Linked DNA regions of Oryctolagus cuniculus. The protein of the gene in region 1 purifies or fractionates together with the protein of each later gene. This does not show direct contact. Links are inferred from orthologs where the notes say so. Each region holds a gene or a part of one and is shown on either strand. Other genes may lie near its edges.

Evidence for each region. Proteins that work in one complex are often made in the same cells at the same time.
Region 2: the proteins of WDR48 (region 1) and RAD51AP1 purify together in Homo sapiens (affinity purification with mass spectrometry; 5 studies listed by BioGRID and IntAct, counting the BioPlex papers as one, with this or other methods). This does not show direct contact. The link is inferred for Oryctolagus cuniculus from reciprocal best matches to the Homo sapiens genes WDR48 and RAD51AP1.

The regions. Positions count from the first base shown.
Region 1 is NC_091441.1:108,255,936-108,259,496, reverse strand, and holds part of WDR48 (WD repeat-containing protein 48), read left to right. Parts: intron 1-13; coding exon 14-110; intron 111-824; coding exon 825-920; intron 921-3,252; coding exon 3,253-3,358; intron 3,359-3,561. UniProt on the Homo sapiens protein: Regulator of deubiquitinating complexes, which acts as a strong activator of USP1, USP12 and USP46. Enhances the USP1-mediated deubiquitination of FANCD2; USP1 being almost inactive by itself.
Region 2 is NC_091440.1:104,909,959-104,914,153, forward strand, and holds the start of RAD51AP1 (RAD51-associated protein 1), read right to left. Parts: upstream 2,854-4,195; 5' UTR 2,694-2,853; coding exon 2,677-2,693; intron 1-2,676. UniProt on the Homo sapiens protein: Structure-specific DNA-binding protein involved in DNA repair by promoting RAD51-mediated homologous recombination.

The DNA of each region.
Region 1 (3,561 bases):
TCTCTTGCGCCAGATGTTGACGATCACCCTGGATGAGAGTGACTGCTTTGCTGCCTGGGTTTCTGCAAAAGATGCTGGCTTCAGCAGCCCTGACGGGTCAGACCCAAAACGTGAGTCTGAGCGTCCTTCCCGCTCCTCCCCTTCTGAGAGGGAAGCTCGGTCTGTGTTGTTTTTAGTTGTTTAGTTTTTAGTCGTGAGAATCCCTTCTCTTCCACCTGTGCGATCCCTGGTCACATTCCTCTAAGAATGTAGCATGTAGACATACCTGATGTGTACAAATACAGTCTTAGTGGCTTTCTGTGGAAATACCTCTTTAAAGATGATGTGATTCTTGGTTTTTGTTTTGCTTTTTTTTAAATATGTATTTATTTGGAAGACAGAGTTATATATAGAGAGAGATCTTTTATCTGCTGATTTACTCCCCAAATGGCCTCCAGGGCTAGGCCAGGTGGAAGCCAGGAGCCAGGAGCTTCATCCAGGTCTCCCATGTGGGTGCAGGGACCCAGGGACGTGGGCCATCTCCTGCTGTTTTCCCAGGCATATTAGCAGGGAACTGGGCTGGGCGCAGAGCAGCCAGGACTCAGCTGGCGCCTGTATGGGATACCAGCATGGCAGGCGGTGGCTTAGCCCGTTATGCCACAATGCCGGCACCTTTTGGTTTGAAGGAATGGTGGGACTCACTTTGTGGGTTAAACCAAGCTTACAGTGCAGGTGTCCCATAGCGGAGTGGGTTAAGGATTTAACACCAGAATACTTTAGTTTTATTTATAATTTTTATTTAAAACTATGTTTTCCATTTTTTTCCTAATCAACTTCTTTCGCAGTGAACTTAGGAGGCCTTTTACTCCAAGCACTCCTAGAATATTGGCCTAGAACTCATGTGAATCCAATGGATGAAGAAGAAAATGAAGTCAACCACGGTCAGTGTTTTTCTGTTCACATAATTAATTAATTAAAAATTAGAACTAAAATATACTTAAATTGTTCGCTAACGTGTGACATAATATGTATGTATGACATGTCCATTTCATCGTCCTCCCGTCTACATCTGCAAGTAAGAGCATCCATAGCATCTCACCTGATTCTGAGACTGCAAGAGAGCAGACAAAATAAACCCCACACACGCGCACGCGCACGCGCACAGCCTTTGTCTTAAAACTGGGCACCTCAGCAGGCCTGCTCTAGAAGTATCCCTTAGAGTGTCTGTGGCTGTCTGGGTGTGCCCCACAGCTAGGTAGTCAGGTGCACCAGAAAGCCAGGATTGCTGTGGCGTGGCCATACTGCAGTCGGTCTGAAATAGTGGCCTTACCTAGTCCGGTGATCTCCCTGCTTCCAGTGTCAGGTATTTCCAAGAGATCGAATCCCATCTCACAAGTGTCGGGTCAATGAGTGAAAGTATCAGAGCCGAGTGTCACTGAGGACACTGGGAAGGTGCGTGTATGCCCCAGGCAGCGCAGTCACGTTCTCTGGGCCCCAGAGGACAGGATTGGAGTGTGTGTGTCTGAAGGAGGGGGAGGAAGGGATTCAGAGCTCCACATGTCCCTGGTCACCTAAAGCCAGTGGAGTCGCTGCATCCCACCTCGGGGCCTCCCCTGCTGGTGGTGCCCTGCTGACCACCAGGAGTGAGCTGCCGTGGCGAGTAGCTCCTGGCAGGGGCGTGGTTCTGGCTGACAGAGTCGTCCCTAGTGGTTGTGGACTGGACTCTCTCCTGATGACTTCCTGAAAACAAGTCCCCTGATGTCCCTGGCCGAGATGGGGCACTGAGCTTTTTCCTGCTGGTTTTCCTTTTGTATCGCCTGGCTCACTTCCCTCCCTGAGAGAATTGTACAGAGGACTGTGACCCAGAGAAACGGATGGAAGGGCCTCCACACAGGGTCAAGAGAAGCAGGTTCTGGTGTGGGCTGTGCTGCTTATCGGTTGTGTAGCTGGAGGCAGTTCATTTCCGGTAAGGCAGGATGCCGTCAGAGGCCCAAAATCAATAATCAGGGCTTGGTAATCAAAAAACAGTGGTACAGTGATGCCCCTTGGATCCAGGCTGTGAGTGGAGAGAGTGAGGAGGAAGTCACGAGACCCTGCATCCCTGTCCAGAGCCCAAGTCAGTGCATGCGCCACCCGCCTGGTGATCTGCACCTGCGCCCTGCTCAGTGGGTGCTCCGGAGGTGGCTTGTGCATGATGGGCAGCTGGTGTAGTCAGAGCCCTTAGCAAGTTGCAGGCGAGATACTGACGACCACTGGGCGTGGACCCTGTTCTTCAGGGGCTGCTGTTCTGGTAGGGCAGAAAGCACCTGGAGATGAGAGGGAAGTGTTGGCTGCTGTGTGAGAAGGTCCAGAGGAGCTGTTGGATTTCGGGATTGAAATTGCTTCCGGCCGGCGCCGCGGCTCACTAGGCTAATCCTCCGCCTGTGGCGCCGGCACACCGGGTTCTAGTCCCAGTCAGGGCTCCGGATTCTGTCCCGGTTGCCCCTCTTCCAGGCCAGCTCTCTGCTGTGGCCCGGGAGTGCAGTGGAGGATGGCCCAAGTGCTTGGGCCCTGCACCCCATGGGAGACCAGGATAAGTACCTGGCTCCTGCCATCAGATCAGTGCGGTGCGCCGGCCGCAGCGCGCCAGCCGCGGTGGCCATTGGAGGGTGAACCAACGGCAAAGGAAGACCTTTCTCTCTGTCTCTCTCTCACTGTCCACTCTGCCTGTCAAAAAAAAAAAAAAAAAAAGAAATTGCTTCCGCCTTGGTTAGGGAGGACTGCGTGAATGGGTTGAGACTGGAGTCTTGGGTAAGTGCACTTGGGTGAAAAGATGACAAAGCAGAGTAGAAATGAAATCAGAGAACAATAAAAGTGACAGGGCCTCTTTGAGAATTTTGTTTTTCACTAAGACCTGTGTTACGAGTTGGAGATGCTATAAAAGTTTTTCTGTCCCTCTCAAGAAAGTTTTCTGAGCTGGGTATATGCTACAAAAAAACACTAGATCATCGTGTATGAATAGGCTGTGTTGTGGCTGCAGGAGCTGGTGACGTTTTTGATTCTGAAACGGAAGTCCCTTCTTTTATAAAATCCACCAGTAGACAGTCATTTGTCTCTGGGACACCTCCAAGTTGCCCATTTTTCTCATTTTCAAGAATTTTACTCTTATTTTTTTTTTCTTTCCACATTCCTTTCTAACCCTGATGGCCTTCCAGCACCTCGCAGGGTGTGATGTTCAGAGCCTGTGTCTGTAGCGCTAACTCTGGTACTGACTGCACCTGCCTCTCTTCCTAGTCAACGGGGAGCAGGAGAACCGAGTGCAGAAGGGCAATGGCTACTTCCAGGTGCCCCCCCACACGCCCGTCATCTTTGGCGAAGCCGGAGGCCGCACGCTTTTCAGGTATGGGGCAGAGGCCGGTGGCCCTGCCGGAGAAAGCACCCCGGTTGCCATGGAGGACTGCCCCAGAAGGGCGTTGGAGGTGGACTGGGATGCGCTCCCAGGCCTGGTGGGGCCCTGGGAGTTTCCAGTGCGGGTCAGAGGTCAGTGGCTGAAGCTGGTGGAGCACTCTCCGCAGAGGAGCAGCCCCCGCGTTCTGTGAGGTG
Region 2 (4,195 bases), on another chromosome or scaffold:
CGGTTGCCCCTCTTCCAGGCCAGCCCTCTGCTGTGGCCAGGGAGTGCAGTGGAGGATGGCCCAGGTGCTTGGGCCCTGCACCCCATGGGAGACCAGGAAAAGCACCTGGCTCCTGGCTCCTGCCATTGGATCAGCGCGGTGCGCCGGTCGCAGCGTGCCGGCCGTGGCGGCCATTGGAGGGTGAACCAACGGCAAAGGAAGACCTTTCTCTCTGTCTCTCTCTCTCACTGTCCACTCTGCCTGTCAAAAAAAAAAAAAAAAAAAAAAAAAGCAGAGCAGCCAGGACTCAAACCGTGCCCACATGGTTTGCTGGCATTGCAGGTGGAGCTTAACTTGTTATGTTAATGCCAAGTCAGCCCTGGTTAGAAACTTCTTGATACTACAATCCATCCTTTTTGATCTCTCCACAATACGAAATAATGTTTTTTATGCAATGGGCTCTTTAACAATGGTGAGTGACCTTGTTCCTGCCACCTGAAATGAATCTTTAAGCTACATGAGGACATTAGAAGAAAATCAAAAGGAAAAAAATAGCATTTCCTTCTTTGTGCCTCTAAGCACTGAATGATACAAATGGTCTTCTAGTCTTGGCTTCTATCTTCTTTCTGTCAAACATCCCAGTGGAACTGCTAGTTGGTCAGTTGGCTGTTCTTTCAAGCAAAAATGACGTCCCATGAAAAAGAAACAAATTCCACTGACAATTCGAATTCACAAATGCTTTTCCTTGAGATAAGCACCCACATTTCAGCATGTAGAATGTAGGTGTAATGCCCACTTCCTCATACCCAATCTTCAAAAAGTGTACTCATGTTACTCTCCTACTCTTCAGTTTTAAAGAATTTCAGAGCTGAATAAAACATAGGACCTCCATCCGTAAAAATCCCAAGATTCAGTAATAGTAAAAGGAAATTGAAAGCCTATTTGAAAAAGAGAGTACACTCAAGGGCTGAGGTACAATGAATACAGTAACTCTTACTGCTTTATCAAGAATATTCTTAAATGAAGCTGAGATTTTGTCCCCACTCTGAATGGTTCGCAGTAAAGAACGCGACCACTGGGAGCAGCCTGACGCCACTGTCTCCACGCGGGCTGAGGTGCCCGCAAGCTTTCTAATCTCTGCCGTGCAAATGACAGAACAGTGAAAAGGGCAAATAAAGTCTTAGGACTGTTAGGAAAATAGCTTTCACTTTGAAGACTGGAGACAGTTTCAGGGACCCCATGAGGTAGCAGATATTTTTTCCTTTTTTTATGAAAGCGAATCTAAGCTTTCATGATATTGACACACAAATGCCTTGAAGTTTAAAGGATTATTTGGTAAATTGTGGGTTTTCTGCTTTTTTATTTTTTTTCCAAAGAATCCTTTTATTTAAGGACTACACACTTCATGCATTTCCTAAGTACAACTTGAGGAATATAGTGATTCTTCCCACCATACCTGCCCTCCCACCACTCCTCCTCCTCCATCTCCCATTCCCAGTCCCATTCTCCACTAAGATCCATTTTCAATTACTTTTATACACAGAAGACCAATTCTATACTAAGTAAAGAGTTCAACAATTTGCACAAAGGAAAAAAAAAAAAAAAACCTGTTCCTCAACAGTCGAGACAACGGCTGGCAGAACATACTTTAACAATCTTTCTTCCCAACAAAGAGACTATCTCTTTGCTACGTGGATGCTTGAAACCCACTTCAAGTTGAGCATGTCTCTAATTCCCCACATGTCATTTTTCTGGTGTTTCCCCTATCACTCAATACAAAAGACATCCATTCAGTGGCTCAGAAATATCAGGGAGTCATCCTTGACTTCTTTTTTACCACTTCATCACAGGGATCATGCTCATGCACTTCATTAGCAAGTTCCACCAGCAGACTATATCCCAGCTTCATCTTCCATTCTGTGTCGACTAATAACACCCCAGGCCAAACCACCGCCCAGTGACCTCACTGGGTCGCTCTACCTGGAGTGCCCCCTACTCTTAGGAGACTAGCTCCTTCTCTTGGCTCGTGTCTATCACACGTCTTCTTCCTGGGAAAGCACGACCTCGCCATCCTACTTCCCTCTTTCCCACTCCATCACATGGCCATGTTTATTTTCGGCGCCCTAACCTCCCCTCCAGCACCCGGTATGGTATAGAAAAAGCAAGTCTCTTCAATAACGCTTTTGCATGAATGGCTGACTGGGGCTTCCAAAAGCACTGGCGTGCATCGAAGCGGAGGAAGACTTTCAAGAATATAATGGAAAGCACAGTACAACGGTCTGGGGTCCGATGATTCAGGGTTGCGCACTGCGCCACCTGCAAGCTGTGTGACCCAGGTAAATTGGCCCAGCTAGTTTGCAATCGGTAAGAGAGGAAGATCTACGCCTCCTGTATGAGAATCGCAGAGAGGAGCAAATGAAAACAACACACAAGCGGGCGTGCGGGGAAATGGGAAGCGCTGTTCACACGCTAGCAGACGGCCTCGTTCGGGTGCGGTGAGCAAAAGGAACAGCAACAGCTGCGAAGGGAGGCAAACGGCGGGGACGCCTCCCTCCGGGCAACCGGAGCTCCTCCCGGGGACTAGCGAGGTCCAACAACCGCCCATTCCACCCTCTCACCCGGCCCTTTCCCTCCATCCGGTGCCGACGCGGTCTACACCGTTCTCCCCACCCCGGCTGGGCGTCAGAAACCACCCACCTCACAGGCCGCACCATGGTCGCTCTCAACGCTGGAGATCCTGCGGCTCTCAGGTTCTTCTCGTCCGCCGCGACGGTTTCAATTCCCGCCCAAAATCAGACATCCCGCACTCCGCCCCGCTGCCAGCAGCCTTCCAATCACCACCAGCCACCCCGCGGCGGCGCATGCGCCCTAAGAAGAGCGCGTGACCTCACGGCCTTCCCCGGGCATCGCCCTAGCATCCGGCTAGCCGGAACCGAGTTTGTGTATTCCCTCAGCACTTTCGTCACGCTGAGGGGCTCCTGCGCTCTTTCTGATATGCACAGTAACGGTAGAAATACACATTATTGCACCTTTCAAATGATTAAACCTGAGAATACTGGAACAAAAGGGGACTTGGACTGAGGATTCTTCTGCAAAGTGCCAGAGAAATGGAACAGACGTGAGTGAATCTGCCGTGGCGGATCTGCTGGCTATAAAAACAAGAGTAAGTCAGCTGACGTTTCTGGTGCCCAGGCTCTCTGACAGCTCGGAGTGAGCGAGCCGCTTCGGAATTAGGTGAGGTGAGCCCTCAGCCAAAAGCTAGGAATACCTTTCCGACTGAAACTCTGTTCCCTCCGTTGGCTGGAGCCCCTGGGCCGGGCAGGCTGCCATCTCGTTCCTTGACCGACCCGAGCCGCAGACTCCGCTCTTGGGCTTATGTGAGCTGAGTCTGGCCCGCCTTCTATTCCAATTTTGTATCTTCTATGATATCACGGCTGCTAAAAAGTGAGGTAAGGGCTTCAAGGTAGACAGACGTAACTAAAATGTGCGTTTTGGAACAGGTGTCTAAACGTTGAATCGGCTGAAGCCGGAGCTAATGATTGGTACCGAAAGCAATGCTTCTGAACTAGTCAGACCAAAAGCCCTTATTTCTGCAAATTTCAATGCCCAGCAGCAGTGTTCTTTTGCTGCTCTGATTTTCTTGTGAGTATTCAATTAGTAACCTGCGGATTTTTTGCTGATGTGTTCCTAGTGTATTTTATTGTTACTGCCTTCCGCGTATTGATCTTACGTTGGTCGGATGCTTTGTGTTCGTTGTTTGACTCGTGTAACAGATCTGCGAGGTACATGACATTATCTCCAACTGATAGTTGTTGAGACGGCGACCGAACGGTGGAGTCAGAATTTGAACTCCTTGAATGACAGTCAGGGACCTGTTCTCCGATCGCGACACTGCCCTTTGTCAGTAAACATTTGCCTGGGGTCCGTGTGCACCCTGGTTCATACGAAGCTGGAGTTGTCGGTAGGGGTTAGATCCTGCGGGGGGCCTTGGATGCCAGGTCAAGGAGTGTTGGGAGGAGGTAGGGCGGGGTTTTAAGTGGAGGGAATCTAAAATATGGAGAGGTGGGGTTGTGTTTCCACTGGCCACAGGGAGTTCTGTTTGGCTGCTTAATTAATCCAGACCAGGTGGTGGTGCTGATGCTACACATGAAGTCAGTGGGATGTTATCTTTTTGTATCATATTCTCCCCTCACTGGCTGAGCTCAGAACTTCTGAT